2 linked regions of the Astyanax mexicanus genome follow. The main gene of each other region encodes a partner of the protein of the gene in region 2 in a complex. Links are inferred from orthologs where the notes say so. Each region holds a gene or a part of one and is shown on either strand. Other genes may lie near its edges.

Region 1 (17,537 bases), on a different chromosome or scaffold from region 2:
TAAGTGCTAGAAACCAGGTTTTATTTTAAATGTTTCATATTGTCTCATCAATTTCTGATTTGGCAGAGGCACAGAACACAAGCACTGCTTTCCTAAATAAGAACTTCATCCTAACTGTGAAGCATGGGGGTGGAGGTATTAAACATGAGTCTGCTTTATTACTTTGGTTCCAGGACATTTTTTGATAAATTAAATTATATAAAATGTGTGTTTTTTATTTTTTTGTGCATTTCAACACTCTCCTCACATCAGCACAGGACTGAAATATCTAAAGGTAAAAATCCAGTGCAGTTTGGAGCTCCACAGTGACATGGTTTCTTCTGAGAAGCTCCAGCGTCCATCTGTGTTTGTGTATTTGAATCATGTCCTCCAGAGTAGTCGAACATGAGCTCCTCACCCACTTCCACGTCTCGGCTGGCGAACAGCGCCAACCTGGGCGCTAGTGAATGCACACGTACGGGCAGCATCACTAGGTTAGGCTGGCAGGAGTGGTTCAGGAAGCGTCCCACGTTGCCCACAGATGCCGGGTCTACAAACGTCTGGATGAACCTCCTCTCTCCCCCGTGCTCCCGGACGGAGATGATATAGTTCATGTCGCTGGAAGTCTGAGAGAGCTGTCTCCGCCGCGCCTCCTGGAACCCAATCACCTCCCCGGCGTACTCACACACGAAGCAGCCCCGCGGGATCGGCTCCAGAGCCAGAACCCCCCAGCCACGGTCCTGAGTACGGAAGACGCCCAGCTGCACCCGCAGGCCGTTCTGGACCAGGCGAGACTGGCAGGACTCACTGCACTCACACAGGACGTTACACTCGAACACAGGCTGGCTGTGGAGCAGGTCGGCCTCGTCCGCCTGACGCTCGACCAGTCGGCCCTCGCTGGTGTAGGCTTGACCGAAGCACAGACACGGGCAGCCGTCCGGCACGCAGGACTGTGCTCGGCAAACACAGCCGGGCAGGGTCACCTCACTCGGGTCAACATCACAGCCTGGACCCTGTACGTTCTCCGGAGTGTACTGCAGGACACACATTACAGACACAGCAGTTAATACAGCAGCAGCCTCCAGATTTACCAGTACATTCTCCAAAATAAACATTATATCACAATGATACAATACTGTAATTCTGCAAAAACTATATCACACAATTCCCTACAATACTTCACAGCATCTGTGTTACTAGAAAGAACTGAATGTACCAAAGTGACTTTTATATTTTAGCACAAGATGGTTCAATAAAAATGGTAAAAATAATAATAACAACCCAATAGAGCCTGCTGACCCTTTAAAAGCTGTGTAAAATTCCTTACATCACTCTGTCCTTTACTTTAACTCAAAGTTCCTAAGTGACATATGACCTACTAAACATCCTGAGAGCATCACTTCTTGCTTATGAAGGTTTGTTCCGACCATTTAACCATTTAAATGCTTTAAAGAAATGTTTTCCATGAACAACCTTTTAAAGTTCAAAGTTATTTATTTTAGTTTTAATTACATTCATTTTCAGAACTTCCAGACTTGTGTCTGGTATTTTCTATAATAATTGTAATAATAATAATAATAAGAAGAAGAAGAAGAAGAAGAAGAAGAAGAAGAAGAAGAAGAAGAAGAAGAAGAAGAAGAAGAAGAAGAAGAAGAAGAAGAATGTACACTTAATTAACCTATGTACCCTTGTTTGATTTTCTTTTCTTTGGTAGATACATTTGTTATAACATGTCATATTTGGGATATATATATATATATATATATATATATATATATATATATACACTAATGCATCTCAAGAATTTTGAATATAATTGACAAGTTACTTTATTTCAGTTATTTAGTTGAAAATGTGAAACTCATATATTGTATAGATGTATTACACACAGAGTGATCTATTTTAAACGTTTATTTATTTTATTGTTGATAAAATCAGTGTCTCAGAAACGGTACTTTTGGCAGTGTGGGCAGTGTGCCAAGTCCTGCTGGAAAATGAAATCCGCATCTCCATAAAAGTTGTCAGTAGCAGAGGGAAGCTGTAAGATATGAAGTGCTGTAAGATTTTGTGGGAAGACAAAACTGCACTGACTGTAGACTTGATAATATAACACAGTGGATCAACACCAGCAGATGACATGTCTCTCCAAAGTAACTTTTCAATGATATTCTAATTTTTTGAGATGCACTAATAAATAAATATATAGATAAATAGTATAAGAATGTAGTTATATGCTAAAATAAAGATTTTGCTTCCATCTACTGGTCGTAAATATGAACTACAAGGCAGCGCATAAACAAACATAATAAAACATTATTAAAAAAGTGTGAAAAATATTATGTTTAGAGAAAAATAAATATAGAGAGCTTGAACTCGTCACAGTGCAGTAACACGCCGCGCTTCTGTAGAGTCTGTGTAAAGGGAATATACAGAAAATAATCAGTAAAAATCTACCTGCAGTTTGGACAAAGCGTCCTGACTCACACCGCTCTCTATTAAAACCGGAATATTCTCCAGACCGCCGCTTAAATCCGCACCGAATGAGCGCAGCATGCTGCACACCGCAGCCGCTCACCGCACCCGGAGACCGGCCCCGAAAACCGGCCCGACCCGAGGAGCTCCAACACTGACCCCGGCCCCAACAACACCGCGCACACCCGGCTACCTTACACACACCAACTAGAGGAGCAGCATCACCAGCCCGCACTTCAAAATTAAAGTCCCTAAGTCAGAGTCTTAGGGACTCAGTTAAAAAATGACTAGTTATATTTACAACATAAACTTTATTTTTTTTGCAGGTTTTTAATTAACGCAGCTATTAATTTTCTCACTGCAGAAAAACCTAAATGTACTTTTTTTCAAAATAAAAGCAGATATATACGGAGCCCCTAAAGGGACATGGTGTATTTTTTTTTTACGTAGAAAGTGGTAAGCACCGCTTACTAAGTCATGAGCACCACTTACTAAGTCGTGAGCACGACTTACTAAATCGTGAGCACGACTTACTAAGTCGTGAGCACAACTTACTAAGTCGTGAGCACCACATACTAAGTCGTGAGCACGACTTACTAAGTCGTGAGCACCACATACTTACTAAGTCGTGAGCACCAGATAATGGTAGCTAGCAAGCTATAGTTTAAACTGGCATATGTTCCACAGTGTAATGTGATTAACTAGCTAGGTTAGCTAATATTATCTATATTTCATTGTGGAATGTTTTAGCTAACGTTAGCTAGGTTAGCTAATGGTAACTACTTTATTTCAGTGGGGAATGTATTAGCTAATGTAAGCTAGTTTAGCTAATTGTAACTACTTTATTTCAGTGGGAAATGTATTAGCTAACGTTAGCTATGTTAGCTAATGGTAACTACTTTTTTTTCACTGGGAAATGTTAACTAACGTTAGCCAGCTTACTCTTATTAGATGTGCACAGAAAAGCTTTTGGGCACACGCACACACACCAAACACAGCGGCTACTTTAACCCAAGCCTACCATATATTGTACAGAGAGCAATGAAAGCCTTAAAGCTAAGCTAACTTAGCTAGCATTAGGTTAGCAAGCTAGATCTTTGTAAAAGCAGCCTACATTTGATCACACATGGCAGCTAAATAAATATGATTTTGATAACTGGATTGTGTCTAATAAGAGTTAGCTGGCTATCGTTAGCTAAAACATTTCACAATGAAATATAGATAACATTAGCTAACCTAGCTAGTTAATCACATTACACTATGGAACATATGCCAGTTTAAACTATAGCTTGCTAGCTACCATTATCTGGTGCTCACGACTTAGTATGTGGTGCTCACGACTTAGTATGTGGTGCTCACGACTTAGTAAGTCGTGCTCACGACTTAGTAAGCGGTGCTCACCACTTTCTATGTAAAAAAAAAAAAAATACACCACGTCCCTTTAGGGGCTCCGTATAAATGTCTATAAACATATAAAGATCTCTTTAAAATTCTAAATAAATTATACTTATATTAATAAGGTATATGTTTAACTAAAAATAACTGTTAATAATTGTTTTATTCTATGAACCACTGATAACTTTTCTTCCAAATTCCAAATAAAAATACTGTAGAAATACTGTAGTATTTTCAGAAAATAAATTGTCAAATTGAAGGGGCCAGACCGTAGTCATAGTTTGTGGTCCCTTTTCATAACTGTCACTTTGTTTTTGACCAAACTGGAAAGTTCAAAAGCTGGGCCTAAACACATATCAGAATAAGCTTCAAGTATTAAAAGAGAAGGTAAGATCTAAAATATATTCCTTTGAAATAAAATGTTTAAGAGAAAGCAACAGGCAATAATGAACCTAAATTAACCTATAATAAATGCTTAATAGATAAAACATTTTTATTGTGGCTGTGCGAAATTTGTGAGGCAACACTAATTAAATAAAACAAATATGGAAAAAAATAGTATCAAATTGTGAATTTTAGTAAGAAAAAAAAACACTGCTAAGCCATATTATTTAATATATATGAAAATATGATTAAAAAACACAACCCTGACAGTTACTTGATTTTTTTATTTCCTTGTTTAAACCACAAAACATCAATGTATGAGCATTAAATAAAACACAAAACCGCACTGCTGCAGATGCATCCGCCTCTTCAACATGGTCTGATTGGCACTTTAGAAACTCCCCCACCCAACACACGCTATTATGTGCTTTGTAAAGCTGCTAAGATGTTCGTTCTATTGCATGAGAGACAAGGGTAGCCACGTTTCTGCATATGCAGGCTTATTTTGCATTTTAAACAATTACAAAATATATAAAGAAACTAGTTAAACACATTAGGGGCAAAAAAATAAACAATTCTCACAATTATCTTTTTTTTTTGTTCGGTTAAAAATAAAATGGAACCGTTATGATCTGGAAGGCATCCAGGCTATTCTTCTGTCCATGTTTTATTTACTGATTACTTTACTGAACGCTCAATATTTCTAAAAGGTTTAGTGTCTAAGTTTGCATGTTTAGAACAGCTGTTCAAGCTTGAGAGCAAAGTTAAAAAGGGGACCAATCAATCGTATGTAACAAGTCAACTGACCCAAACCAAGGATCCAAAATAAAACAACATTGTTCATACTGAGGCAGAAAGTGTGGAACACATTTAAAATGCTCATAGACGTCATCACAATGGTCCCGCACGTTAAAGCCCCAATTAGGAACTGCAGCAGCTGCTCAAAACAAGAGACTTTTAAAGAATGCCCTCTTAAAACGTAAAATGTGCATGTTTTCCACGTTCTCTTTTTCAGAAACAGAACTCAGAATCAGTCCAGTGATGGTGCTGCTGCAGCAGTTCCTAATTTGGGCTTTAAGAGGCTGGTCTAAAACAGTCTGTCAAGTGACAGTTGGTTGAGTTGTTGAACTTGAATGGAAAAGGAGGAAAAAACGGAGAGTGGCCATTTTTCTCGTCCTCTGCGTTGAGACATTTAGGTCAGTGTTTCCCCTTTCGTAACCTTGAAGAGAAAAGGAGAGAAAGTGAGTTATACTATGCAGCTCATTACAGATACAAGATACATTAAAGTTGTGCTTACACATAAATTATTTTAGCTTGATTTGGCTGTTGCTGAACAAGCTGTCTTTTATTTGCTTAAGTTGAATATTTAACACCCAGCAGTTTCATTCTGAGCTGTAGCACTATGGTCCAACTCACCAAGTTCCTGTTTAGAGGGTTACATCTGTGCCACAAACCTCAACTAATGCAGAATGCAAACATGCAAAAGCGTGACGATATTTTTTATTTGCATTGCATTATGTCCGTCTAAAAAAATAAACTATTAATAGTTGAGTAGAGTTTTGCATGTAAATGACAAATGCACGTAAATTCTGTCTTCTGTTCTGAGAGGCTGCTCTCTGACATGCCACATTTCCTAGCTAAAAAAAAGTCTTCACCTGGATTTAATTAAGCAAATTATGTGGGGTTGATGCTGAAGTTGGTCAGGTCTAGGTTCAGGAACAGTATGTGCTGAAAGAATGAGGTCAGCTGACTACCTGAATATAGACCAGATTATTTCACTGACAGCGAGACAGACCTCAATCAATCAAAAGCATGTGCATTATCTGTGTTCAGATTCATGGCTTAGCTGAACCCACACAGAGGAACCAGGCTGCTAATTGGAATAGTGTATAATGCTGTTAATGGACTTTTTAACACCACATATGCTCTTACTCTGGCTTCAATGTACTCAATCCTCCTCTCCAGGGCAGTCAGCTTCTCATTCAGGGTGGCTAGGCGGGACCTGCACGACATATCTGGTAAAGAAAGCAGAGAGATATTCAGAAACTGATTGTTACTCTTACTTTTGTACATAAGCATAGTTTATTTAGCAATTTTTTAGCAGTAGACATTTGTACAATATAGAAAAAAACATCCATTTAATAGTTGTTTTTGCCATATGCTGCCAGTCAAAATCATTACTGTCAACATACAGAAACAAGACAATATATAAAGCACATCCCAGATATCCATCACAGGGAATTGGCCACTTGTATTCTGGAAAAGGACCAAGCTATGCCGACTGCAATATTACAATTGGCCAACACTGGCTGAGCTACTTCAAAATATTTTCTATCTTTTTTATTACTGGTAGTTTCAATAGACCTATTCTTTGGTTTATCCAGTTAATGTGAAAAAGAGGGATTAAAGATGTGACCAGTCTATGTAAGAACCAGTTGGCTAAAAATATTTTGCAAATAAACAATTTTCAAGCGATTTCACTGTCGCAGACAAATTTCCAGTGTCAGGATAAAATCATAAGAGTGTTGCTAGAGTTGATTTGCGGTCGTGTCATCTTAATTGTTCAGTGTAAGATGGTTAGGATTGAAGTCAGTGTTTTTCGCGTCCTGACAATCAGATAAGACCAGATAAAATCGATCGTGTTAAATATTGTCGTAAGTTTTGAGACTTAGCTCACACAAATAGTGACCTGAACAATGTCAACAACCAATCGAAGAGCTACAGGAAGCTGCAAAGCAATATTACTTACTTTTTTACTTAATATTTTACGTGACTCTTCACAAACGATAAAAAAAAAAACACATTTTGCAGTTAATACGTCTTAAATGGACCTTACTTTAATATGTACAATACTTTAAACACAAGTAGCACTTTAAAGTCAATATATATAAAGTTATTTTATTTTGCACTACTTTGTCTTGTTGTTCAGTGTTATTTTTGATACAAACAAGTTTAATAAATACACATTTTGCAAGAATGGTGTTCTTAATTGCATTGATTCTATCTAAAACAAAGTTAAATAGGTATAGCAGTGAAACTGTGATTCTTTTCTTTTCAAGGTTGAAGCAAAAAAGTGAAAATAAGCAAATTGGCAGAGTTAAACACAAAATGTATTATATTAAAAAATATCAAGAAGTAACATTGTGACTAAAAAATAAACTGTTGATGGGCCAAAAGCTGTAAATCTCTAATAAATCACAGTATTGATGTACACATTATTTGTAACTCAAAATGTAATTCGACTGTATGTAATCTCCACCAGAAGCATGATGGTAAATAATCTCAGAAATAATCTAATTGCAGTCTTGCAAACAGTGATCCTCTGTCTATCTGTGAGTAAAAAGTCTGTGACTTGTCTTTGGGTGTCTACTGTCTTTTTAAAGTTCTCTGGTGTATGGTTAGCATTAGTCATACTGAGCTGCAGCGCCACCAGAACGCACCCAGAAAAAAACAGGAAGCTAAAAGAAGCTAGTGGTTTATATGTAGCTAAGGAGGTATAATGAGAAATATACATTTATATACACTGTACTGTAATATTAAAGACTCACATTTACGGTTTATTACACTCAAAAAGTTTATCTATCCCGCCAGCTAACTGCATTAACATTACTGTAGCCTGAGTCCACTATGTTTATGTTTATATTGACGGGCTAAGCTAGCTGGCTAGGTTAGCTAAGCTATAAGGCTAAACTAGCTCTCTAGGTGACGACTTGTCCTGTATAAATATGTACACTACACCCTCCCCAGCTCCAGTTACGCTCTAAATAACGAGCCAAAAGCCTGTGAACATATCTAAAAACAGGGATAACCCACATTAACCAGCTAATAGTTATCCATCCGCCCCTCCTCATTCCTCCACACGCTAGCTAACACCGTTAGCACCGCGGCTACCGCAGCTCACGGCCGGTTACACACAGCCCCCAGCCCGCTCCTCTGGCCGAACTCACCGAAGGAATTGAGGAAATCGGCTATTTTCTTGATGCTGCTGGTAATCACTTCGATATACTCGCGATTTGCCCAGTCCTGGTGGATTTCTCTCTGCACTGGATCCTCCTGTCCGGCCATGTTGATCTACTGAAGCCGCTGCGTTTGTTTTAGTGGCTCCGCAGCGCCGCCTGCAGCCAAACATGCGGCGAAAAACTCAACAGTATACGGCTCCTCGAAAAAGTGGGTCATTCTGCAGTTTATTCCATTTAAAAAAAATAAAGCAGATATTAAGCAGATATTATTGTTGTTTACCAGACATAAATCTTTATTATTTATCTCGATTTCTTTATCTTTAATAACAAAGTTTATATTACAAAAAAATTATGCAGTAATAAGGTAATTAGAATCAGACATTTTTTTTGTTCATCTTTATTTGACACTTCTCTATCAGCCATTTAACCAAAAGTTTTTGGACTTTAAAATTAAACCAACATTTTTTTGGACCTTTCTTTATCAGCCCAAATATTGGCATTCCACCATTTAACCAAAAGTTTTTGGACACTTCTTTATCAGCCCAAGTATTGGCATTCCACCGTTTAGCTAAAAGTTTTTAGATTTAGCATTTATTTAAGCAATATTTAAGCATTTAACCAAATGTTTTTGGACTTTATCTTTTAACCAAATGTTTTTGGACACTTCTTTATCCACCATTTAACCAAAACATTTCTTGATTTTAGCATTTAACCAAACGTGTTTGGACTTATACATTTAACCAAACGTTTTTGGACACTTCTTTATCATCCCAGGTATTGGCATTCCACCATTTAACCAAACGTTTTTGAACCTTATCATTAACCAAACGTTTTTGGACACTTCTTTATCAGCCCAAATATTGGCATTCCAGCATTTATCCAAAGGTTTTTGGATTCTAACATTAGACCAATTTTTTTGGAACCTTTTTAATCATCCCAAGTATTGGCACTCATTTTTTTTATTTTAGCATTTAACCAAACGTTTTTGGCACTTCTTTATCAGCCCAGGTATTGGCATTTCACCATTTAACCAAATGTTTTTGGACACTGCTTTATCAGCCCAAGTAATTGGCATTTCACTATTTAAGTAAACGTTTTTGAACCTTATCATTTAACCAAAGGTTTTTGGACTTTATCTTTTAACCAAATGTTTTTGGACTTTATCTTTTAACCAAATGTTTTGGACCCTTCTTTATCAGCCCAAATATTGGCATTCCACCATTTAACCAAAAGCTTTTTTGGTTTTAGCATTTAACCAAAAGTTTTTGGACACTTCTTTATCAGCCCAAGTATTGTCATTCCACCATTTAGCTAAAAGTTTTTAGATTTAGCATTTAACTAAAGGTTTTTAGACTTAAGCATTTAACCAAAAGTTTTTTGACACGTTTGAAACAGCCCAATTATTGTCATTCCACTATTTAACCAAACATTTTTGGACTTTAGCATTTAACCAAATGTTTAGTCCAAGTATTGGCATTCCACCATTTATACAGTTTACCATTTATTTTGAGACTAAAGTAGCTTTTAAACGTTATAAAATATTAACAATATGAAATATAATAAATAATAAAAATGTAAATAAAAATCTTAAGAATATTGACATCAATATTTACATTGTACATGAAAAAACACTGTTTTTTCACATTATGAGGTATATAGGTGTGAGTTCTGCTTCTAGTAAGTGTATATAGTGTGTGGGTATGTGTACATTGTATGTATGAAAACACTAGCTATAGGTAATATACAGTTGTAGATGTGTTTATATTAGCAATGCATTCAACTAATTTATTTACACAGACTATTGGGAATTTACAGCTTATTGGACGTCAGGGGCTGGAGCCTTGAGTAACTTAAGCGACGACAACGGCTTGGGCAAAAGAGGGCTCCACTGACACACGGTTTTAGGCAGTGACCTATATTCAGGCATTAGTTTTACCCTACAGACTGTCATATATATACTATATATATAAGATCAGAGATTAACCGTAAATATCCATTGAAAATTCTGTGAAGTCTAAAACCATGCTTAATCTCTGTCTGGGGAACTGCCCTACAGTGTCCTAGATTAATCTAATTATTTAACGTTAATTGATTAAATACTATATTAAACAGCCTATATAAACGGAAACGTTGTGAATTATTTAAATATCTATTTGAACGAACGATTTTAACGTTAACTGGCTTCTTTGTTAACCAAGCTAGTTAATAACTAACCTAGCTAGTTAGACAGGTTAATTTGCTAACGCTAACATTAATTATCCAATTGCTGTTCATATAAATACAGTTTACTAGGAAAAAAGTAAGTGCATTTTTGAAATTATTATACATATCAGTTGTATTAGCTAGAATATATATTTTTAAACTTTTTCAGAATTACTGATAATGAGGCATAAATGACCTTTAGCATTACTGGCTAGCTTAGCTAACCTGGTAACCTAGAAACTGAATCTTCTGGTTGTTTATGTTAGCTAGCTAGCTAACTAACTAGCTTGCCCAGCTACCAGCTTGGTGAATCAACCAGGTTAATAGACAAAGAAGCCCATCTAACTAAAACAAAAAAACTATAAATAAATAAAATAATAAGTTAGTTAACCAGAATAGAGTATGTTTCCCTGGATTCCCTGGATTTTTTTTTTACAATCTTGACCATTAAAGATCTATGAAAGCCCATTCACGCCAGCTAAAATAAACACAAATTCCAGCACATATTAATTTTCTAATTATTGCATACATACTTTTTTCATTATTTTGAGATACTATGTCGTAATTGTGAGATTCTAAGTCATTATTTAGAGATACTATCTCGTTTTTGTGAGACATTATTTTGAGATGCTTTCTTGTTATTTTCAGATATAAAGTAAATATGTTTTTTAGATAATAAGTAGTTATTCTGAGATACTAAGTCACTATCTTAAGATACTATTGAGATATCATTATTTTGTGATGCTTTCTTGTTATTTTGAGATATGATGTCATTATTTTGAGATATCAGTATTTTGAGATGTTAACTTGTTATTTTGAGATGTAATGTCATAATTTTTAAAAACTTAGTTGTTATTTTCAGATACTAGGTCATTGTTCTGAGATATTTTGAAATGCTAACTCATTATTGTGAGATAATAAGTCATTATTTTGAGATGCTCTCTCATTATTTTGAGTTCACAGATACAGCACAATAATGTGCAGTTATGTCATAGTAGTTTTTTTTTTTTTTTAAGACTAAAAAGTTAAGAATGTTGTCTTTATCTTGGTAGCTAGAAAAATGCCAACCCAGCTAAGACAGTATATACAAGGCCTTTCAGCAGCCCGGGATCATGAGTACTGCTCACCTGCTTCACACAACACCTCAGAACCTGTTATTTATGTCTCGCCTCAATACATTATTGGCCACACTGAGATCCTTCATGACTGCGGCCTCTGCCCAGTGTACCATAATGTGATGTTTAGACACTCAGAGAGGCCTGATTGCAGGCCTGCATGGTGAGTATGTGCTTAACTGTGATTATATGATTGTAGTATATGCCTTGGTTTTCTTAAAGATGTCATAACACTACTAATTATTGTCCACACCCTTCCTTATGACTTAGCCTGGGATCCAAAAAGAAGTCTGAAGGTGCCGTGCCACAGAACTGCGATGGATTGCTTGGTCTGTGTAATCTCTTTATATTTATATATTTACACATACAGCTCTGGAAATAAATAAGAGACTACTTAAAAATGATGATTTTCTTTGATTTTACCAAATTAAAAACTTCTGGAATATAATCAAAAGAAAAATTGATGATCACAAGCCATGAATTTTTGCACCAGGAATGGCATGAAGTTATCCAAAAGCATTGTGTAAGACTGGTGGAGGAGAACATGCCAAGATGCATGGAAACTGTATTCTAAAACCAGGGTTTGTTATTTAACCATTTCTCATTTTCTGCAAATAAATGCTCTAATTGACCATTTTTTTATTTAGAATTTGGGATAATGTTGTCCATAGTTTATAGAATAAAACAAAAATGTTCATTTTACTCAAAGCTTTACCTACAAATTGCAAATTCAGAGAAACTTAATCAGAAACTGAAGTGGTCTCTTAATATTTTCCAGAGATGTATATCAATCTAGACTTTCCTTGACAGTAGAGATTTTTTAAATTATTTATTAATTCCCTTTATTCTAGTAGAAACAATAAATGAACAGGCATCCCCATACCTTTTTTTGATTGCTATGCATTTAATTACAAATATGTGGAATTACAGTATACATAAACAAGGCCAGCACTTCATGGAGGTCAGGAATGCTGTAACGCTGCAGTTATGTAATTCTTCCTGTTCTTGTTCCTTTCCTGAAGAGGCCTCCAGCCTGCAGACTCTGGAGGAGCTACTAGCAAAGCTGGAGTTTGAGAATGAGCTCAACCGGGTGTGTGGTAACCTCAGGGTGAGCACGAACACACAGTCATCACCACTACCATCAGACAGAGGGAGTTACAGTACTGAAAGTGCAGACAGTGGCGTGGAGGAAGGTGAAGACAGTGAAGAGGACACTGATGGTGAGGAAGATGTGCTCACAGGCCTGCTGGACATGGTCCTGGAGATGGAGCAGGACTATGACCTCTACTTCTAGTTGTGGGTGGATCAGAGTTATTTTCCTTGCATGGGCAGAGCACTGGAGCACAGGACTCTGGAGAAATGGATTTTAGGCTCTAGTTTAGTGATAAAACAATAAAGAACTGTGGCCTTAAAAGTTACCAGTTAACAATAAATAATAAAAATAGCCTAAATAGCCTAATATCTAATATCTAAATGTTTAATCATTTTCTTATTGTTTGTGATTTTTTTAAATAACATTGCAATCCAACACTTCATTCTAAATAGCATTGCAATCTATGTATTATTATTATAATATGAACACTGCCAAAATCTCATCTGTCTAACTGAAAGTTATTTTTATTTGTTTTTTAAAACGAACTTATTGAGAAATAGATATTTTTAATATATTTTTTTATACATTTTTTGAAACATATTATTTATATTTAGCTTTAACGTAAACTGTTTATAAATATGGAATGTATAAAACTTGTGTGCCACATTACAAATAAACAAGATAAAAAATTCCGGATCTGTGGTCTGTACATATAACCTTATTAAACTTGGAACTGAGACATTATAAATAAACATGTTCAAAGAGCCAGGGTCTGTCTGCAGTGTTGGAGACCCATGACACAGTGGTATCTTCGCCAGTCTGTTATGTAAGCCATGACCTACAGTTTAAATGAGACAGCTGAGCAAGGACAACACTGAGGCTGACCTAGAGGAGGGAATGGCAGTAATAGTACAAGTACCATAGCAATTGCAGATGACACAGTACTCTTGTCTCTGCATCTGGACAACATGCTGGAGGAGCCACTAAAGAAATAGCATCAGAAACAGTACATGCTCTGTACATTCATTCTCTTACGCTCATCTTACCAGTGATCAGTGAACTGTGAGATCAGCTCACAAGATTTTGCAGGACCCTTATCATGTTTAAATGGCTTCCATCAGGACGCAGACTTTGCTGTCCACAGTGCAGGACACAAAGAAGGAAGACTCCCCAGGGCAGTCCAGCTCCATAATCCTGAAGCTGATATATAAAGTGTAAATTTACGTGCAAAGGTGTGAGAAGTTTTCATATATAGTATTAATTTTTAGATACTAGATTTTAAAAATACTTCTTTAGAAAGTGAAATATCAACTTTTTTTTTACTAAGCTTTTTACTCATCTTCATACTACACTACATACGTCTGCTATGTTCTTGCTGGAGTGTGTGTGTGTGTGTGTGGGGGGGGGGGCATGACGTGATGTGCAGGTGTAATGGATCACAGTATAAACCAATAGGGAGTTGGAATGGTATATGTTTATACTTCTCTACATCCAATCACAATCAGATTCACTCTATCTGGATGATAGTCATATGAAAAATAATTACTCCAGTACAGTATAGATAACCTCTCTTGACACCTCAGTTTATGAGTATCAATGAATGTTGTACGTGTTGTGTCTGTTATTTTATGCCTATTGAATTCCCCTTGGGGACAAATAAAGGAATCTGAATGTGAATCTGAATATGTCCAAAAGATCCATATTCTCTAAATACTGTATACTGCCATATATAAATTCTTACTCATTGCGGTTTATTCAATGTGCATGTCTGAGAAGCTTGTCTCAGTCATTAATCTTTAACCTTTATTTTGCCACCTACTGACTATCAAAACTAATCATTTTTATTGCCAGCTAATCTTTACCAGTGTTATACATGTTCTTACAACACACACAGCACAAAGACACTTCTGTCTGACTGTAATACTCTCACACACACACAAACACAGGTCACACAGTGTCAGGACTTTTGCCAGTATCTGGTTGTTTGTTGTTGTGACATTCTGCTATGGTGCAAAGGAGAGCTGAAATCTCTACAGACGTACACACATGCAATTCTGCATGTAATAAAATTACACATACAGCTCTGGAAAAAATTAAGAGACCACTGAGTTTCTCTGATTTTGCTATTTATAGGTTTATGTTTGAGTAAAATGAACATTGTTGTTTTATTCTATAAACTACAAAAACATTTCTCCTAAATCCCAAATAAAAAAAATGTAATTTAGAGCATTTATTTGCAGAAATTGAGAAATGGCTGAAACAAAAAAGGTGCAGAGCTTTAAGACCTCAAATAATGCAAGGAAAACAAGTTCATATTCATAAAGTTTTAAGAGTTTAGAAATCAATATTTGGTGGAATAACCCTTGTTTTTAATCACAGTTTTCATGCATCTTGGCATCATGTTCTCCTCCACCAGTCTTACACACTGCTTTTGGATAATTTTAGGCCACTCCTGGTGCAAAAATTCAAGCAGTTCAGTTTGGTTTGATGGCTTGTGGTCATCTATCTTCCTCTTTTTATATTCCAGAAGTTTTTTAAGTGGCCTCTTGTTTTTTTCCAGAGCTGTAAATGACATGATATGTATGTCATTTATTAGAGTATTTGAGCCCTCCTCACTCATGAACACCACTGCTTTCACTGCTTTAAATGAGAAACAAAAAACTTAAGGTCTGCTCTTTAATAATAATAAAAAAAAAGGTTGCCCTTTTTTTTTTTTTTTTACCTAATTCACCTTATCCTTTCATTTACATTTCCAGAGTGACTTACATGGTTATTTATATTACAGAAGTGGACCAATGTAGTGTTAGGAGTCTTGCCCAAGGACTCTTATTGGCGTAGCACAGCTTTCATTCACCCAGACCGAGAATTGCACCCTAATCTCCCTAATCATGATTATGATATCTCACTAGCAGGTAGTGGTGTTATCCACTGAGCCACACCAATCACTTTCAGTTAAAAGGAAACCAGTAGCACAGCAACCAATGAGGAAGTAAAAAAAAGTGAAGTGTTGTGGTTTGCCTGGTTCTTTCCTGAATTTCGACAAACTTCTCTAGATTAGGTAACAAACAAAAAAGGAGAAACAGTTCTTTTTCATTATGGAATGTTTATTTGGTTTAAAAGAGCTGGACGGTAGAGCTGAGCATTGCTGGACGTAGTTAAATTACCACTGTTATCAACAGACATTTACATTTTCATCAGACACCCCCCTCACAATAGATTTCAAGAGGCGCCTTCATAGAGTAAACAGCCTACAGCACAGTCGCACTCTACCCAAGTCAGCAAAGTCAGCCAACACACACTAAAACAGAGCCATCTCAAACAGAGCTGGTGGCCAGAAATGATAGGACGGGGGTAGATGTTTACTGCCCTTATCTCCTGTCCACACAACCCCAGCAGGCCCAGCGCCAGGCCAGTTTACTTGACCTTCTTGAGGAGCTCCTTGATGTCGGCCTCGATGTCACTGGTCAAGAAGTTCCTGCTGTAGCGTTTAAACGGCTCTCCGTCTGGACCAATCAGAAACTTCTCAAAATTCCACGAGACGTCATTCCTGCAAACCGGGCTCCAGATGATGAACTTGGGGTCTGTCATCAAGGCCATGGAGTTGTCACTGGGAAAGGGCAGCTTCTCCTTCAGGAACTCGAACAGGGGATGGGCATTGGTACCATTTACTTCGACCTTCTCCAGCAGCTGGAAGCGAGGCTCGAAGCCGTTCCCTGGACGGACGTACTTCAGGCAATTGAGGATTTCTTCGTTCTTGCCATTCTCCTGGTTGGGACAGAAGAAACAAGTGAATTAATTCAGGCAGCTCTGTGGGCTGTTATTCCAAAACCTCAGTGACTTAAGAGCCCATTACAGCATGCCCTGGAGCCCTCATTATCAAATTTCACAAAGTCACGATGATAAAAACAACAGTCTGTGTATGCAGGCCTACTAGCTTCATAACCAACTGCACAGGAGCAATTATATAATTAATCCTATTTTTAAAAATACAGTATGTATTTGTTTATGGTTCAATAACGCATATATTAGGGGTTTCATAGGCCTACAGTATTTTTAGCACTGTAAGGCGCAATAGATTACAAGTACATTATAAGTACATAGATTATAAGTACATTACATAATGCCTTGAGTATTTTCAAACATAAGGCATTATAAGGCACTCTGGTGATTTTTGGGAAAATTATAGAATTTTAAGTGCACCTCATAGGTCAGAAATTTCTAAAGATTAACTAATAAAGTGTTTTTGTTCTACAATGTCGCATTCTCAACTGTACCTAAAATAATTATTTTTCCTGTTGGGTTGCACCACATGATATTTTGACTTATTAAACAACAGAAATTAACTTTAACCAATATAGTGTTTTTTGAAAAGTTAAAGTAAGTACATATGTAGGTACATACAGGAGAGGTACCACATAATCACTCTAAACTAGTGGTGTGCCATTTCGTATTGTATGCAATATTATAGCCACAATTTATGTCACGATTAAAAAAACACTCCATATAAAAAAAATAATAATAATTACATTAAATCATATTTATTTTATTATTTACTGTATTTACTTTTCTTAGTTTGCAGTTTATATGCAAACTTAGCATTTGTCATATTGCCAAGAATATTGAAATAGTGTGATATTGTTTTAGGGCTATCAGACACTTTCTGAGGCAAAAGATATTTTCAAAGAAATCAAATGCAGTATAATTAATCAGACACATTCTGAATGTATGAATTATACACCACTTTTTAAATCACAACAAATTTTCTAAAATTTCCACAATCATTCAATGCTTTCAAAAGTATCAAGCATTTATTTTTTTATAGCATTTAAATCAGTTTTCTGATTTTAGCATATATTTTCTAAAATAATCAGACTCATACAAATCTAATGTGTTTATAATGACTAGGCATTTTTTCTGAACTATCAGATGTTTTGGGAA
Region 2 (16,887 bases):
TATATGTGTTGGGGTCCATCATCATCACCATACCTTCACAGTAGATACTGAAGAGCTCAAAGTTAACGTTATCTACAAAATCTGATTTGATTTAGGGAAACAAAGTGGTGATTCTGGCCACATGCTCTGCATTATTAGTGGCTAAAATGCAAGTTGTGGCCAGTTGGGCATCACGCAATACAGGCCATGTATACCACTATTCTGCAATACACTGAATATGACACAAGCTGTCTAGTTGAATAGAGAATCAGTGCACACAGTATTATAAATATTATTGCAATTAGGGCTGGGCAATAGGGGTGCCCGCTGCAGTTAGTGGCTAATGCTGCTGCACCTAGCCTTAATGCTGGAGAAACTTGAGCACTGAAAAATCTCCGTTAGACAAAATATTGGAAATCTAAGATTACTGTAAACAAACGGAAGCGCTTTTAGGAGAGAAATCTGTGTAGATTAACATTGTTTGATTTTGAAAGAAAATGTTTTTTTTTAAGCCGCTTTTTACAGCTTCCCCATGAGAAAGGAAACATGGCGACGCCCTTGCTCACTTTGATGTAGGTATCCTTACTAGTGTCGCTTAATGTGCCTTATAACCAGCGCACCTTATGTATGAAAATAGACCAGAAAATAGATGTTTACTGATGATGCGCCTTATAGTCTGAAAAATATGGTAATATATTTGCCATTTTTCCTACCTACAGGTAGACAAGCCTGTCTTTGCTGAATGTTAAACAGAGAAATACACAGACTGGGACAGACAGACAGAGTCTGATGGTGACGAAGCCAAAGTCAACTTTCCCACACTGCTGAGAGTCCGTCTCTGAACCCACATTCCTATACGTTACTCGAGCTTCACAAAGCCAGAACCAGCGACCTGAAAACACACATATCTGCTCCTCAAATCCCCCACGCTTAAACAGGCTGCGCTATAAACTGCACCCCGTACTACGACTAAACGCTAATTACGGATTACAGCACACCAGCAGGCGAGAAGGCAGGAGAAAACAAATCCACGGCTTCTGAACCTCTGAACTGCTTTAACCAGCCTGTCCTCACTCACGTAGACCTGTCACAACAATTCAGTCATCAACTGAAATATATGCACATCATCTCAATTCTAATGTTTGGTGACCTCAATATTACCCATTGTGTTTTATTATTGAGGAGTGTCAACTCGTTTTTCAGCAGTTGTGGTAGATTCACAAATGGCAGGTAGTAGCTTTACTCACACAAATTACACCAAAAAATAAAGCTTTCGTCATTTTTCACTTATCACGTTTAAAAATAGGTTACTACCTCTTTTAATACTGTCCGTTTTCCAGCAGGAAGTTAAAAGCTGTACAGGACTAGGATAGTAACACTAGCTGAGGTAGCTTAGCCTTAGCATTTGTTTGTTTACCAAAAAAACTTGTTGCCTTTCACACCTCAGTAGCACCACTGAAGCAAATATATGATTAGAATAGCATTGCTGTCATGTGAGGTAAAGTCAGGTTTTCTGCTGGGGTGTTAAAATGTTTGTGTTTAATAACCTGCAGTTTTGTAACTGAGACAAACTGTTTTGTAGGTAAGACAAAAATACATTTAGGTAAGCCAAATGTTACATTTTTACCGACCTTAGTTTCAGTTTCAGATTTTATTTTAGTGACGCTCCAGTGTAGCAGAATTAGTCATTAGTCTTAAAATGACAATAGTACAATTTATTATCATGGATGAGAACAGCTATTCTACACTCAGAATGCTCAGAACGCTACCATTTATACCTCCAGTAACAGACGTAAGGATCACCCTGGTAGGCGGATGGGCAGCAGAAGACTGCAGGGAGATCACAGGGTTCTCATGAATTGAGCCACTGAGAGTGTGACATGTTTGGGTCATGCCGCTCAGTGAGTTTCCTCTTCCAAAGGCCTGCAGCATAACACACACTAGAATTGGGCAGTGTGATGATATTTTATGGTATTGTGTTACATTTCCTTATCATATTCAGGGTTCCAGATTAACTTTTTTCACAAGCGTCCCAGAATTGTCCCAAAACCGTCTCAAAGGTAACCAAAATACTTATACTTTATTATTTACCATTAATGTTGTATTTGTTTGTGTACCATTCAACAGCCATAATGCCATTAATTGTTTTGACTTTCTTGTCCATATGCTCCTCCTACTCTTGCAGTGTATCTGGAAAGAGACTCTGCACTTATAATTAGGAAAACTCAGTGATATTTCAACCAGCAAGCTGTCTCAGAAAACTCCTGAAAGTGTTGCAAAAAAGCTTTAATCCTGTCTCTGGGACGGTGGAACCGTGTTAGTCTGGAACCCTGGTATTCACAATATGCTTTAATAAGCATATCATGGTTATCATCAATGCTTAAAGAACACTAACCCAACTAAACATTTCATTACTATTTTCACTGTACTTGTCATGAAAGAGTATGTGAATAGCACCTTTTTAGGAATCTGGCACACTGCTGATGCATGTTGTGTGTATGTCAAAATATTGTTATGAACATTGTGCATCATAAAAATGTCCTTTAATGTTGTAATACACATTTTTTACAATTTCACCCAGCTCTCTCAGTTTGTGATTACATACACCACAGGTGGTGGCTTATATATTTTTCATATTTCAGATTCAGAATTATATCACATTGAATAAATCCGAAAAGAACCAAATCATTGAACTCAGGTGTTGCTGAATCAATTGTGTCGACAGGTGTATAATAATAAAAGCAGCAGCTAGTCATGCTGGGACTGCTTCTACAAACATTAGTGAAATAATGTGTGGCACTCAGGAGCTCAGTGAACTCCAGCACTGTGGTACAGTGATAGGATGCAGCACCTGTGCAACAAGTCCAGTCGTGAAATTTCACAACTCACTACTAAATATTCCACAGCCAACTGTCAGTGATATTATAACACAGTAGAAGAGACTGTGTCAGTGTAAAATAACAGAGCGGGGTCAGCGGATGCTGAGGAGCATAATTCACAGAGTTCACCAACTTTCTGCAGAGTCACTACACCAATCACTACACACCTCCAAACTTCATGTAGCTTCAGAGTTTATCACTACACACCTCCAAACTTCATGTAGCTTCAGAGTTCATCACTACACACCTCCAAACTTCATGTAGCTTCAGAGTTCATCACTTCACACCTCCAAACTTCATGTAGCTTCAGAGTTCATCACTACACACCTCCAAACTTCATGTAGCTTCAGAGTTCATCACTACACACCTCCAAACTTCATGTAGCTTCAGAGTTCATCACTACACACCTCCAAACTTCATGTAGCTTCAGAGTTCATCATTACACACCTCCAAACTTCATGTAGCTTCAGAGTTCATCATTACACACCTCCAAACTTCATGTAGCTTCAGAGTTCATCACTACACACCTCCAAACTTCATGTAGCTTCAGAGTTCATCACTTCACACCTCCAAACTTCATGTAGCTTCAGAGTTCATCACTACACACCTCCAAACTTCATGTAGCTTCAGAGTTCATCACTACACACCTCCAAACTTCATGTAGCTTCAGAGTTCATCACTTCACACCTCCAAACTTCATGTAGCTTCAGAGTTCATCACTTCACACCTCCAAACTTCATGTAGCTTCAGAGTTCATCACTACACACCTCCAAACTTCATGTAGCTTCAGATTAGTTCATCACTACACACCTCCAAACTTAATGTAGCTTCAGAGTTCATCACTACACACCTCCAAACTTCATGTAGCTTTAGATTAGATGAACAACAGCAGAGTGTATAGAGACTCATGAAATGGAGAGTCGTCATGGCCAAGCAGCTCTATGCAAATCCTCACTAGTAATGCCCCAACACCAGGAGGGTGAAGACTAGCACACGCCTTCTCCGTCACATGTGAAGTCAGCCACCGCCTCTTTTTGAACTGCTGCTGATGCAGCATTACTAAGTAGCATCACAGTGCGCTCGAGGGTAAGAGCAGCAACTGGGTTCTGATACATCAGCTCACAGACGCCTTGTGCTGATCCACATCACCCACCCAGAGAGAGCAAGACGAATTGTGCTCTCTCTGAGCTCTGGCAGCCTATGGCAAGATGCATGAACAGGTTTCACGCCTCAATCTGCCGATTGTTTGTATGAATTTGTAACACACTACAGGTCCATCAGTCAGATCACTCTATTATAAAGACAAAGTGTATTAATACTGGACACAATGCCGTACGCTGTTCCTTCAAGAATGATAGCAGAGTGGAGAATGCTGTTCAACTTAGCATCGGCCTCAGCACCGGACTGGATTACATCATAGATTTATGATGGATTTCCTTCAGGCTATGAAATTACACTGAGGCTCTGAACAGGCCGGCTACAGTGAGTGATGTACTGACTGATGACTAACAAGCAGTGTATTCATACTCTGTGCTAAGGGCACCGTCTGACAGCCGATGACCAGCTGATAACCTGTTGAAATATCATTTGTTTCTCATCGTCTCTGTAATGGAGGCTTATAGGTTGAACACACTGGTGAAAAATGAGGGATATTATGCTTATTTGGTCTCAAAAGAGCATGTCTCAGGTTAGCACAGTTCATAACAGCACTTTGGACCAGCAGTGTGCCATATAGTATTATACATAATAATATTGCTAACCTTTTTAATATCGTGAATGATATTACAACCTAAAATATGGTGCCATATCACCCAGCCCTAATTATCACATTAGGGTACTACTTTTTGCAGTTTTTAGCAAAAGAAAAATTCACACTGTTCTCATTTCCCATTATATATCTACTACAAACAGATTATATCTGCCCAGTATCATTTATTTTACTTTAATCTTGGATATATTGAGATATTTGGAGTGCATTATTATTAGTATCATGACATTCTGGATTATTGACTTCTGTTACAAATCTGATAAAGTTCTTGTATTTTTTAATATATCCGTTAGGGGTGTGCTATATGTATGCAATAGTAAAATTGTATTTTCATTTTGTTGCAGTAGTGTGTTATTTAATTTTTCTTTTAATTTAGTGTTTTGTCTTATTGGCAAAAGTATCGTTATTGTAAAAATACCATGAAATATTGTGCTATTGTTTTAGGGCAGATAAACCTTTCACACAACTAAATAGATCAATATTTCCTGTTTCCCTTCTGCCACCCTATTATCACATTACCTGATAAAATTAATTAGTTCTCAGTCAGCATGAAGTCGCAAATCACAGCAAAGAATATGGTCACTTTTTTATGGTTTACAACACTGTGGCCAGAAATTCAATCTTATTAAATATAACTAAATATCCAACGAAAGGTAGCACACACTGATGACAAGTAAGGAAGGGGTATTTTTTGTGTAATATACTAAGAAATGTTAGTTAGACATTACCTAATTTTTAGTGTGCCCCAGCTGTTCAGTTTAGGTATCGGTCATTTTTACTATTAAAATATGGGGTAAACAAAGTGAGTGCAAATGTGTAGCTTGTGTAGGTTTGTGCCATATCTCATTGTAAAAAACATTATCGCAAAAAACTCTTGACATGATAAAAAAAAAACTCAAGAAAGCAGTAGTTAGCATTATTTTTGTTTCTATTTTTCATTTTGTTACACCATTATTATATAGTGCAAATTCAGGGTCTTGGCAAGTTACTGTTTAGGAAATATACAAACAAAACATCACTTTCTCTAAATATAGCACAAAGTCCAAAAATTCGTTTTGTATTGACTGTTTTGTATTTATTTTGATAAGTTTTTTATTATTATTATTATTATTATTATTATTATTATTATTATTATTATTATTATTATTAACCATTATTATTTTATACAAATTCAGGGTCTTGGTAAGTTGCTGTTTACAAAACAGACAGGCATTTATAACGTTAGATTTTTATTTAAGTTTCAACTGAATGTATGATTTTATGTTATATTTATTATTAGAATTAACTCAAAATATCGCTTTCTTTTAATATAACACATTTTTTTCCAGGAAGTCCAAGATTTCTGCAATTTGTGTGCACTAAATATGCTGAACTTGGTAGATTTCTGTTGTTACATTACATTATTTTTGTTATATTTCTTTATTTTGTTACACCATTATTATTTAATACAAATTCGAAAGTGAAATTTATGAAACACGTATATTTATGCCAAATTGTATTTTCATATGTAATATTAGAATTATTTAAAACAACACTTTTTTATTATAACCCATTTTTCCAGAAGAAGTGCAGAAATTTGCTGTTTAAATAGGTTAACGTTATAAAAACACAGTAACAGCTAGTTACGTTAGCTAGTTAGCTTAGCGTTAGATTAGCTAGCAACAGCAGTAACCAGCTAACCTAGCAACCATATTACAGCCCACACTGAGAAGAGCCACCTTAATATAACCCATATATCTAACAAAACACACGCGTTAAAGCTATTTCTTATTATTATACAGCAAATAAATACAAATCTGCATCTAAAACAGGCGGAATCAGTGAGAAAACCCAGATATTTATCAGTATTTCTTCGTATGGAGGCTCTGACGACAGTCCTCCCCTCACCCCACCCATAACGGGGAAGGATGCTTCTTTCAGTGAGGCAGCGGAGCAGCAGCACCACCGCTGATACTACCGCCGCTATCACCGCTTCTACTGAATGAACGGATGCCTGGTTCACACAAGCGCCTCTATATTATACTTATTATAAAACCACAAACCCGAGAAACGCGCTAAACAAGCAGAAACACCAGCAAACAGCAGGACTAGACGGGTCTCAGTGATAAAAAATGACGGCGCATCGCGAACTACAGCAGCAGCAGCAGCAGGTCCCCTCCTCCTCCTCCCTCCCGCCGAGCCTCCATCATCCCGCTATCTATCTAACCTCCTCCTCATCACCAGACCCAGCGCTTTAAACACACACACAGCCCAGCTCACAGCCTACCCGCAAATCTCATGTCCGCCCGAAACCGAACGGACCGGCCAAAGCGCAACTCGGCTCTCACACAAGCCGGGGGAGGGTGCCTCTCTCCTGGATCTCCACCGACTGATGCTCCGGCTTCAGCCCCGTCCGCTAATCCACCCACCCCGCACACAAAGAGCAGAAAATGGCTGCAAGTGCTTTTCTTAAAGTGACAGAGGCCCATTTATCTAACATGAACTATGCTAAGCTAATCTATGCTAAGCTAACGCTAGCTTAGCTGGGTACCACTTTAAAAAGCTCTTTTATAAAGGGTTTATAAATACTTATAAAGCAGTTTATTAATGGATATTAAGTAATAAATGTCTGTTAAAAACTTTATTCATTTAACTTTAATAACATATTAAATGACTAACGTTTTTCTGTATTATTCAATTACACATGTTAAGTTATAGTCACTGTTGTTCCTTCTATTTAGGTGTTGTAAGTTACGCTTAAAAAACGCCTTTATAAACTATTTATAAAACCTTAATAAAGGAGTCTAATTTTAAAGTGGTATCCTTAGCTGCCTCTCTGTGAGTGAGTTATCATTAGCCAAACAAACAAATTATAAATACTGGTGTTTATTACTGGTGTTTTTTTTTTTTTTTTCAATTGCTAAAACATAATTTTGTAAACTAGTCGGCTGGTTTTATTAAATACTAAATACAATTCACAAAACCACCCAACACCCAAACTACCTCAAACCCTCATAAATCATGAAATCTAAAATATTTAACACTTCTACTCAGTGATTAAACTCCTGCATCCAGAATGCAATGGATGCAAGAAAGTTTTTTTAGGCTTTCTTGGTCACATGACATTGTGTTCAGTAGCTCCTCCATTTCCACTCGCTGTAGTATTTTTACATGGATCTCCGGATGTGCTTCCGGATGGGACTAAAATTACTGGAAGAGAATGGAGTTCAGCAAACAGTAGGTAATTCAGTACATAACAGTAGGTAATTCAGCCTGTAATTTTCTCAGACGACGTCTGAGAAAAACACATACATGGTCGTTCCGGACGGGAATAAAATCACAGAGGAGCCCCACCATGACTCCCTGAGAAACAAATCCCGTCCGGACAAGGCATAGAGGTGGGCGATATGGCCCTAAAATAAGATCAGAATATTTCATGGTATTCTTGTGATAACGATACTCGATATGACAAAACGCTAAATAAAAAAAAAATCAACAATACACTACTGCAAAAATTTTAATTAAAATGTATTATTGCATATGATATTAAATGGGCATAGCATGGCAAGTGGGAATAAAATAATAATAATCCTTTTCTGGATGAATTTGTTGAAGCAAATAAACAGTCAAATATGCAGAAGTGTGTCTCTATAGAGAATATTCTTTTTATTATATAGAGAAAAAACATAGAGAAAAATAAATAATCATATTATTTGACCAGAAGTGACTGACTTTCCACTGTAATGGTTAATATAGCATAATATAGTGTGTATTATACAAAACTCACTTTTTGCGTCAGGAATCATATGCTTCTATGTACCGATTGGATGTTTCCCTAGCTTCTTATTGTGACATCACAATAAGAAAACCTGCAGAGAACCACCCTGGCACCATTCCTGAGAACCTCTGACAGTACACAGCAGGATTAGGCAGCAGACTTTGTCTGAGTGAGGGCTCTGTACCCACTGCCTGCACAAGCTATGTAAGATATAAACACTCAGTGTATGTTTTGTATAGACCATATACCTATTCTAACCTGTGTAAAAAGAGGTCCCCTTTAAGCTATTGTAGATCACATCATTCTCCTATTAAAAGTCATTTGCTTTGGTGTCATTTTGTTCCAGTGAGTGGTGAAAGGTTTAGATAATAACTGATAGGGAAATTGAAAAAATGAAGTAGCTGTCTGCTTGAATATTTCATGCTAGTTCATTAGCCTACAACAGAGCGGATAACCCCACTGGAAACACATTCAATAAAATATGAGGTGAGCCGACCATGTGCTCTGGGCTGTTTGATACATAGTGAGGCCTGGCAGCCTGTGTGTGTGTGTGTGTGTGTGTGTAACCCTTGTGTGGTTTCCACAGTAACCAAAGGAGGCATGTGTGTGAGGGTGAGTGGGTGTGTGTATCACCATGGGCTTCTATAGTAAGTCCATTCGTCTGGTCATCCTGTTCTTTTTAAAGCGTGTGTGTTTGTTTGTGTGTGTGTGTGTGTGTGTGTGTGTATGTGTGTGTGTGGTCACAGATTAAAACATGGTATATTTGTCTGATTAGGGTTTTTTTGCTTTTATTAAAAATAAAACATGGTATTAAAATGACTTATGATACATAATATTTGAACCAACAGTAAAAAATATAATACAGTAAATGAAGTAAATAATACAGTAATGAATAGTTTTGAGGCTGAAGCTCTATCTAGTTTATTAAATAGCTTGTGTTCGCCCTCTAGAGCAGAAGAGCAGAAGTGTTTTAATGCAGCTACACTACAAGAGTTTATACAGCAAATAGGTTTAGCTTACAAACACACCATTGATATACGTTCTAACTCAGTATTCTAGTGCATCTAATGTCATCTGCTGGTGTTGATCCACTGTGTTTTTATTATCAAGTCTAAAGTCAGTGCAGTTTAGTTTTCACACAAAATCTTACAGCGCTTCATGCTGAACCTCTGCTACTGACAACTTTTATTGAGATGTGGATTTCATTTTCCAGCAGGATTTGGTACACTGCCCACACTGCCAAAAGTACCAAATGGTCTAATATAATATTCTAATTTTCTGAGACACTGATTTTTGGGTTTTATTGTCTGTAATCCATTATCAATAGTAATAGGAGAAATAATCACTCTGTGTTGTATCTATAAAATACAATATTTAAGTTTCACATTTTGAACTAAATTACTGAAATAAAGTAATTTTCAAGGATAGTATACATTTTTTTTAGATGCACTAGTATACCAATAAAAATTACAATTGAACTAGTAATTAGCATTTTTAACTAGTAAATGTTGTGACTGCAGACATCTCCTCTGTAATTTTGACTTAGACAAACTCAGATCAGTTTTAGATCAATTAATATTATTATTAATAGTTAAAAAAAATTATATTATATTATTACAGTGTACATTATACAAGTTAGGACTTTATCACTGGTGTAATTTTAGGCAAAAATGGCTTACCATATATTTATCTACTAAGGCACCAAAGGCTGATCCATTAGATCAAGGTTGCTCAGAAATATAAAAAATGTAGAAATAAATAGAATTTACAAATAAATAAACTGCTATAAACTGTACAATATATCTATATTCAGGTTTCTGATTTGTGTATGAAATTTAACACAATCCATGGCTCAGAAGTCAGCAAGAGAGGCCAGCTGATGGAGGAGCAGAGCGAAGGACGGCCGGTCTTCAGGTTTCTATTAGAAATAAAATAGAATTAAATGAAGACATGCCGTTATAATAATACAGTTAATACAGTAGATTAAACAAGACAAATGCCTCACAAATCTGCCAAACTCATGCTTCTACTGTGATGCTGATGGCCTTTTCTGCTCTCAAGCAATGGAAGCATTCAGTCACTTTGGGCTCCTCAGGCACTAGGTACACTTTTAACACTTTCAGACCCTCCATCCACTATTAAGGACATTGTGTTGTTAATATTTGTTTTTTAAGTTTATAATAACATATCAGAATAGACCAATTAAAAACTTTTCCAGCCAATAAAACAGCCCCACCCACCTCACTGGAAAACAGCTGTAGTAGGGCACGGCAGCACTTGAGCCAAAAATGAAAAATTAAGGGTTCATTTGTATTAAATTAAAGTAAGATCAATATCAACAAGTAACAATGTTAAAAAAAATATTACCATGCCTTGGAAATAATTTAGGTCTAGGCATTCTATGCCCGAAAAACGTAAGTTTCACGTAAAAATGGTGCCATGCATACAAGGGCATTCAGTGGGTAAAGATGCATGCCTTCCGTGCCTACAAGCTCATTCAGTGGAGGATGTAAAATCGTGCACAGTGCAAAACATATATGCCTTGAATGCCGAAAAGCACAATCGCTGTGTAAAAGGCATGCCTTGTATAAAATCAGGTGCCATGCATAAAAGCCCATGTCCTGCTTAAAAACGTGCAGCATGTGTGAAAGCACATGGCTCACATAATATCTTGCGGCATACATAAAAGTGTATACCCTTCATGGTGAAAAAGCAGGATTTGTGCGTAAAAGCCCATGCCTTGCGTAAAAACGTTCATCGTGCATTAAAGAGCATGTCATTCCTAAAAGGCGTGCGTAAAAGCGCATGCCTCACATAAAATTGTACGCCATGCATAAAAGTGCATGCCTCATGTAAAATTGTGCATAAAAGGCCATGAGTAAAAACACGCGTAAAAGTGCAAGTCATGTGTAAAAGCCCATGCCCTGATTAGAAACGCACACCGGGCATAAAAGCCCATGCCTCACGTAAAATTGTACGCCATACATAAAAGCCCAAAAATGTGTGCTGTGCATGCCAGAATTTAAATCTACTGTAAAAACCCTTAGTGATGCCACTGAAAAATCCTCACTCACCTCTTTCCAGCACCACTGCATCAGCTGGTAAACGGTTTCTGGGCAGAGGCGGGGCTGCAGTAACCTCTGTCCGGCGTTCAGGGACTCGATCACCTCCGCGTTGGAGCGATACTCGTAGGGCAGCCGCCCCTCGCTGTAGATCTCCCACATCAGCACACCTGAGATTACCAAGACCAGTTAAATCAATAGGAGCTCATACTTCAGGAGGAGGACATACTATACTGAATATCATTTATCATCAAAGTTGTAATGTTTAATATACAGTTCAGATATATTTACTGCATTAGTAATATTTAGTATGTAATAAAAATACACAGAGCTTAAGGAGGTGAAGGAATAGTTAAGGCAATATTGATTTATCACTTACCTCAGATTCAGTCTTAAAAAATTAAGTACATAAGAATAACACTAATATTCTAAAAAAGTAAATGGTAAAAATAAAAACAAAAGTTGAATTAGGAAAAAAATAAAAATAAAAGGATTAACTGTTGGCAGGTCAGTGTATATGCAAACAGAAATACAGCTCTGGAAAAAAAATAAGAGACTTAAAAATGATGAGTTTCTTTGATTTTACCAAATTGAAAACCTCTGCAATATAATCAAGAAGAAGATGGACGATCACAAACCATCAAACCAAACTAAACTGCTTTAATTTTTGCACCAGGAGTAAAGGCATAAAGTTATCCAAAAGCAGTGTGTAAGACTGGTGGAGGAGAACATGATGCCAAGATGCATGAAAACTGTGATTAAAAACCAGGGTTATTCCACCAAATATTGATTTCTGAACTCTTAAAACTTTATGAATATGAATTTGTTTTCTTTGCATTATTTATGGTCTGAAAGCTCTGCATCTTTTTTTTGTTATTTCAGCCATTTCTTGTTTTCTGCAAATTAATGGTCTAAATAACAATATTTTTATTTGGAATTTGGGACACAGAAATGTTGTCTGTAGTTTATAGAATAAAACAACAATGTTCATTTTACTCAAACATAAACCTATAAATAGCAAAATCAGAGAAACTGATTCAGAAAATGAAGAGATCTCTTAATTTTTTCCAGAGCTGTAAATGGTGGAAAAACCTACTGTTTTTCATTTAAAAAATCACAATCAGTTTATAATATTGTATTATGTAGAGGTTAGAGATTTAGATCTGCATAACTTCTACTTAAATCTAAATACAGCAGGTTTAAATTAAGAAATTACGTCGTACTGACCGAATGACCACACGTCTGACTTGCTGCTAAACTTGGTGTGGTTGATCACCTCTGGTGACGACCACTTCATGGCGAATTTGGAGCCGGTTGAGCAGACGTACAGATCATCCAGCACAGGCCTGCAGGGTCCAGCAGAAAATGATGAGAGGTGATCATGTAGAGAGCATGCCCTCAGCAGACAGGAAAGGTTTACTGTACCTGATAACAGCTTGTTTTCTTACCTGGTCATTCCAAAATCAGACACCTTCACCTCAAGCTTTTCTGAGACCAGGCAGTTTCTCGCCGCCTGCAAACAGGAAAGATTCATTACTTTCATTACTAAAGACTCAGCAAGTGACTTAAGTTATATAATTGCATTATTATGCTATTATACACAATCGGCTCTATCATACACACTGCGCAAAGTGTTATCACGCATCACAATTCTCATTGTGCTGAGAAGCATTGGACGTTTCCAGGTATCTGCGTTGTTAAAATAGCAATCCACCAAAATCAGAGCCCATCTGGCTCTTAAAGGTGCCCTTCCCCTAAAATCCACTTTTTCTTGTTCTTTGTGAAAAACAATAGGTCTCTCTGAGTTGTATATGACGCTGCACATGATAAAACTCTTCCTCAAACTCCATTGTCTGCAGCAGCTAGTAAAAGAAAATATTCAGAAAAACGAGTCGATCAGGAAAAGCACTGTGTCTACATCAACCCGTGAATTAGTATTCATGGCCCCGCCCACCTCGGCTCAGGACCGCCCACAGACAAAGCTGAAGCCGGGCAGTGACGCCGTCTTGTCAGATAGGAGCAAAATAACAGCCCTAGGAACAGCATGCAGTTCATTGCAGTGTTATTTGTGCAAATAACACATCAGTGTTTATATGCTTTACCCAGTAATTCAGAGCTAAAAAACAAATAGCTAGAATTTGTCTATAGGGGGAACAACACCAGCCAAGCACAATTGAGATAGGTAGGTGTGTGTTTAGAACAGTTCTGTTTACACTAGTTAAAAGTAAAAATCCACTCAAGCTGTGTGTAACCAGGTGGGTTTACATAGGATCTCCGGTGGATTTTACGTTTTACAGAGAGTCTAAGACTAGGTCAGTGGCTGAATGCACTTAGCAGGGCATTATTACACATGTTGTAAAGTAACATATCACATTGCAAAGACTGTTATTAGTGTTAAAATGTCTTTATTTCGAAACATCTCTAACTGTTGTCCGTCTCACAGTCACGCGCCATAGACCAGCTGCCTACCGTCCACCTTCTGTCACTTTTCTCGGGTTAGTGGCCTTTTTTACTGACATTACTGATCTTCACATGTATTCTGACTTCTAATTGTCTAATTAAATGAGCAAGTAAATCTAGATTAGTGTAGAGGAGCAGATCTGACAATCCCTGAGAGTGCAGGTTTACCAGATCTCTGTGTATAAAGTTGGAACTCTCCAGGTAGTCCATGGCCTCGCTCACATCCAGGCACATCCCCAGCAGATCCTCCGGCTTGAAGGAGCCTTTTTTGGAGCGCAGGAAGTCCGTCAGGCAGCCATTCTCCAGGAACTCGAAGATCAGACACATGGGTGAGCGTTGCATGCACATGCCATACAGCTTCACCAGCTTAGGGTGGGACAGTTTCCTGTTAAACAGGAAGAGGAGGTGCAGTTATAATCAGTGAGCTGCTACCTGGAGTTACATTATACTAGACCTGAAGGACAAAAAAAAGGAGAAGTCTGGTGTGAAATGGACTTAAACTGAAATATGGTTATACACTGAAAAAATGATGCGTAAAATTTACTTTGCGTAAAAAAGTTTCGCAACTTTCTGCATTTGCTTTTTTTAAGTAAATTTAATTTCAGATAAATTTAAGTAACTTCAACTCGGTTTCAAGACTTAAATGTTACACAGAATAAATAAGTGAACTGAACTTCAGTCAATCCTTTCTTTTAGTAAACTTTACTTCATTTATTTTTACTGAATCAATCCTTTCTTTTAGTAAACTTTACTTCATTTATTTTTACTGAATCAATCCTTTCTTTTAGTAAACTTTACTTCATTTATTTTTACTGAATCAATCCTTTCTTTTAGTAAACTTTACTTAAATTCTGCATACATTATTACCTAATTACAAGTAAACAATATTTACATAATCTCAAATATTTATTTTGTAAACAGACCAAGTCTCACTGTCTCAACACATGGATGCATGTAATACATTATTTTTAGTTTACTAGTATAAAGAATGTATTACATGCCATCCATGTGTTGAGACAGTGTGATATGTGTGTTTTAACTAAAAAAAAAAAAAAACAGGAATTATAATCTATTATGTATCATAAAGTATTTGAGTAATATTGTATAAATTAAGTAATTGTAATTAGGTAATATTGTATGCAGAAATTAAGTAAAGTTTACTAAAAAAATAATTGATATAGCAAAAATAAATGAAGTAAAGTTTACTAAAAGAAATGATTGAATGAAGTTCAGTTCACTTATTTACTCTGTGTCTTGAAACCGAGTTGAAGTTACTTAAATTATCTGAAATTAAATTTACTTAAAAAAAGCAAATGCAGAAAGTTGCGAAAAATTTTTAAAGTAAATTTTACGCATCATTTTTTTGTGTATTTCTTCTTATCAGGTTTTACTACAATCCAAATCCATTTTACACTGAAGTTCTCCTTTAAGTATTTATTATAAATACACAACTCTAATGTGTCCTTTGTGAATGCTTTACAGACACAACTTATCTAATTTTCTGAGTTTCCTTTTAATTTGACAAAATCTAATATCGAATTAAAATAAATTAACAATCCAATTTATCCTATTCCAATTACATTTAATTTAAAATGACTTTTTTATGTTTTACTAGGCTAAAGAGCTTTAACGGAGGAAATAAACACTACTCTAGCTCCATATTCCACACTCAACAACCAGGTAAAAGAAATCATGCCATTAGCTGTGTGTGCATGTGTGTGTTACCAGGCTGACTAAACTTTGTCACGTGAATAATTTGCATTTAGAAATTTTATGGTTCCAGACTAATCTTATTAACATTTACAGCACTAATTCATATGTACTATTAATCCAATTATATGTTTAATATAAAAGTAATGTAACTTTTTTGTAAGCTATAATTATTTAACCCCCTCCAAAAAAAAATAAAACTGCTGAAAAACAATTATCACTCACGTCATAATTTTAGCCTCCTCTTTAAACTCCTCCTCGGACATGGCGTCCTCGCGTACGGTCTTCACGGCCACTTTCTTACCGTTCCAGAATCCTTCTAAAACCACCCCGAACTGCCCACAGCCCAGCTCCTTCCCCAGACTCAGCTCGTCCGGGTCCACCTCCCACTTTTCTACACGGCAAAAAGAAAAATGATGAATTATGAGAGTAAATTAATAATACTACAGTACATCAGCCCCTACAGGACACTTGGAGAAGCTGCCTGTTCACTCTCTACTCCACTTAATAATTAAGGATCAGATTTAAGGTGAATCAACCGCAAATTCTTAAATTTGAAAATAGACATACTGTAGAAAATAGACAACTGTAGAAAACAGACAACTGTAATGAAACAAAAAGGTTTGGAGGATATGAACTGTTTGATTTGTATTCACTAAAAGATGTATTTCTACATTAAGTTTAAGAAAGTGCCAATCTTATGTATTTTATTCATTATATTTTTTTAGTTGCAGATTTACTTCAATATTTTAAATCAGCTCAAACCTAAATGTATTTAATTGCAATTTTAATAACAGACCAAAATGAAGTAGCACATAATTGTTAAGTGGAACAAAAATGATACATGATTCTCAAAATTTTAATGAAATAAAGTAACTTTTCAATATGATTTTAATTCTTATTAACTTAACTTATATACTTATATATGCACTTTTATTGTTGATGATTATGATTATGGATTACAGCCAATGAAAATCCAAAAGTCAGTGTCTCAGAAAATTAGAATATTATATAAGATCAGTTGGTACTTTTGGCAGTGTGGGCAGTGTGCCAAGTCCTGCTGGAAAATGAAATCCGCATCTCCATAAAAGTTGTCAGTAGCAGAGGGAAGCATGAAGTGCTGTAAGATTTTGTGGGAAAACAAAACTGCACTGACTTTAGACTTGATAATAAAACACAGTGGATCAACACCAGCAGATGCTCCTGTATATCTGATGTATCGACTGACCTGATACGATTTCCTCAATCCTGGGAGAATTTCCTCTGTCTTGG

Evidence for each region.
Region 1: cyfip2 (region 2) and brk1 share a complex: the UniProt entries of both Homo sapiens proteins name them as parts of the WAVE1 complex. The link is inferred for Astyanax mexicanus from reciprocal best matches to the Homo sapiens genes CYFIP2 and BRK1.

Annotation. Positions count from the first base shown.
Region 1 is NC_064431.1:28,740,026-28,757,562, reverse strand, and holds brk1 (probable protein BRICK1), read right to left. Parts: upstream 8,342-17,537; 5' UTR 8,296-8,341; coding exon 8,178-8,295; intron 6,246-8,177; coding exon 6,163-6,245; intron 5,450-6,162; coding exon 5,423-5,449; 3' UTR 4,495-5,422; downstream 1-4,494. Other genes in the region: histone-lysine N-methyltransferase SETMAR, read right to left, coding at 249-1,013, 2,434-2,532; uncharacterized protein C3orf62, read left to right, coding at 11,452-11,669, 11,777-11,835, 12,529-12,800. UniProt on the Homo sapiens protein: Involved in regulation of actin and microtubule organization. Part of a WAVE complex that activates the Arp2/3 complex. As component of the WAVE1 complex, required for BDNF-NTRK2 endocytic trafficking and signaling from early endosomes.
Region 2 is NC_064417.1:49,384,959-49,401,845, forward strand, and holds the start of cyfip2 (cytoplasmic FMR1-interacting protein 2), read right to left. Parts: upstream 7,050-16,887; 5' UTR 6,893-7,049; intron 1-6,892. Other genes in the region: itk (tyrosine-protein kinase ITK/TSK), read right to left, coding at 10,236-10,301, 11,458-11,615, 12,673-12,791, 12,894-12,958, 14,074-14,290, 15,841-16,009, 16,844-16,887. UniProt on the Homo sapiens protein: Involved in T-cell adhesion and p53/TP53-dependent induction of apoptosis. Does not bind RNA. As component of the WAVE1 complex, required for BDNF-NTRK2 endocytic trafficking and signaling from early endosomes.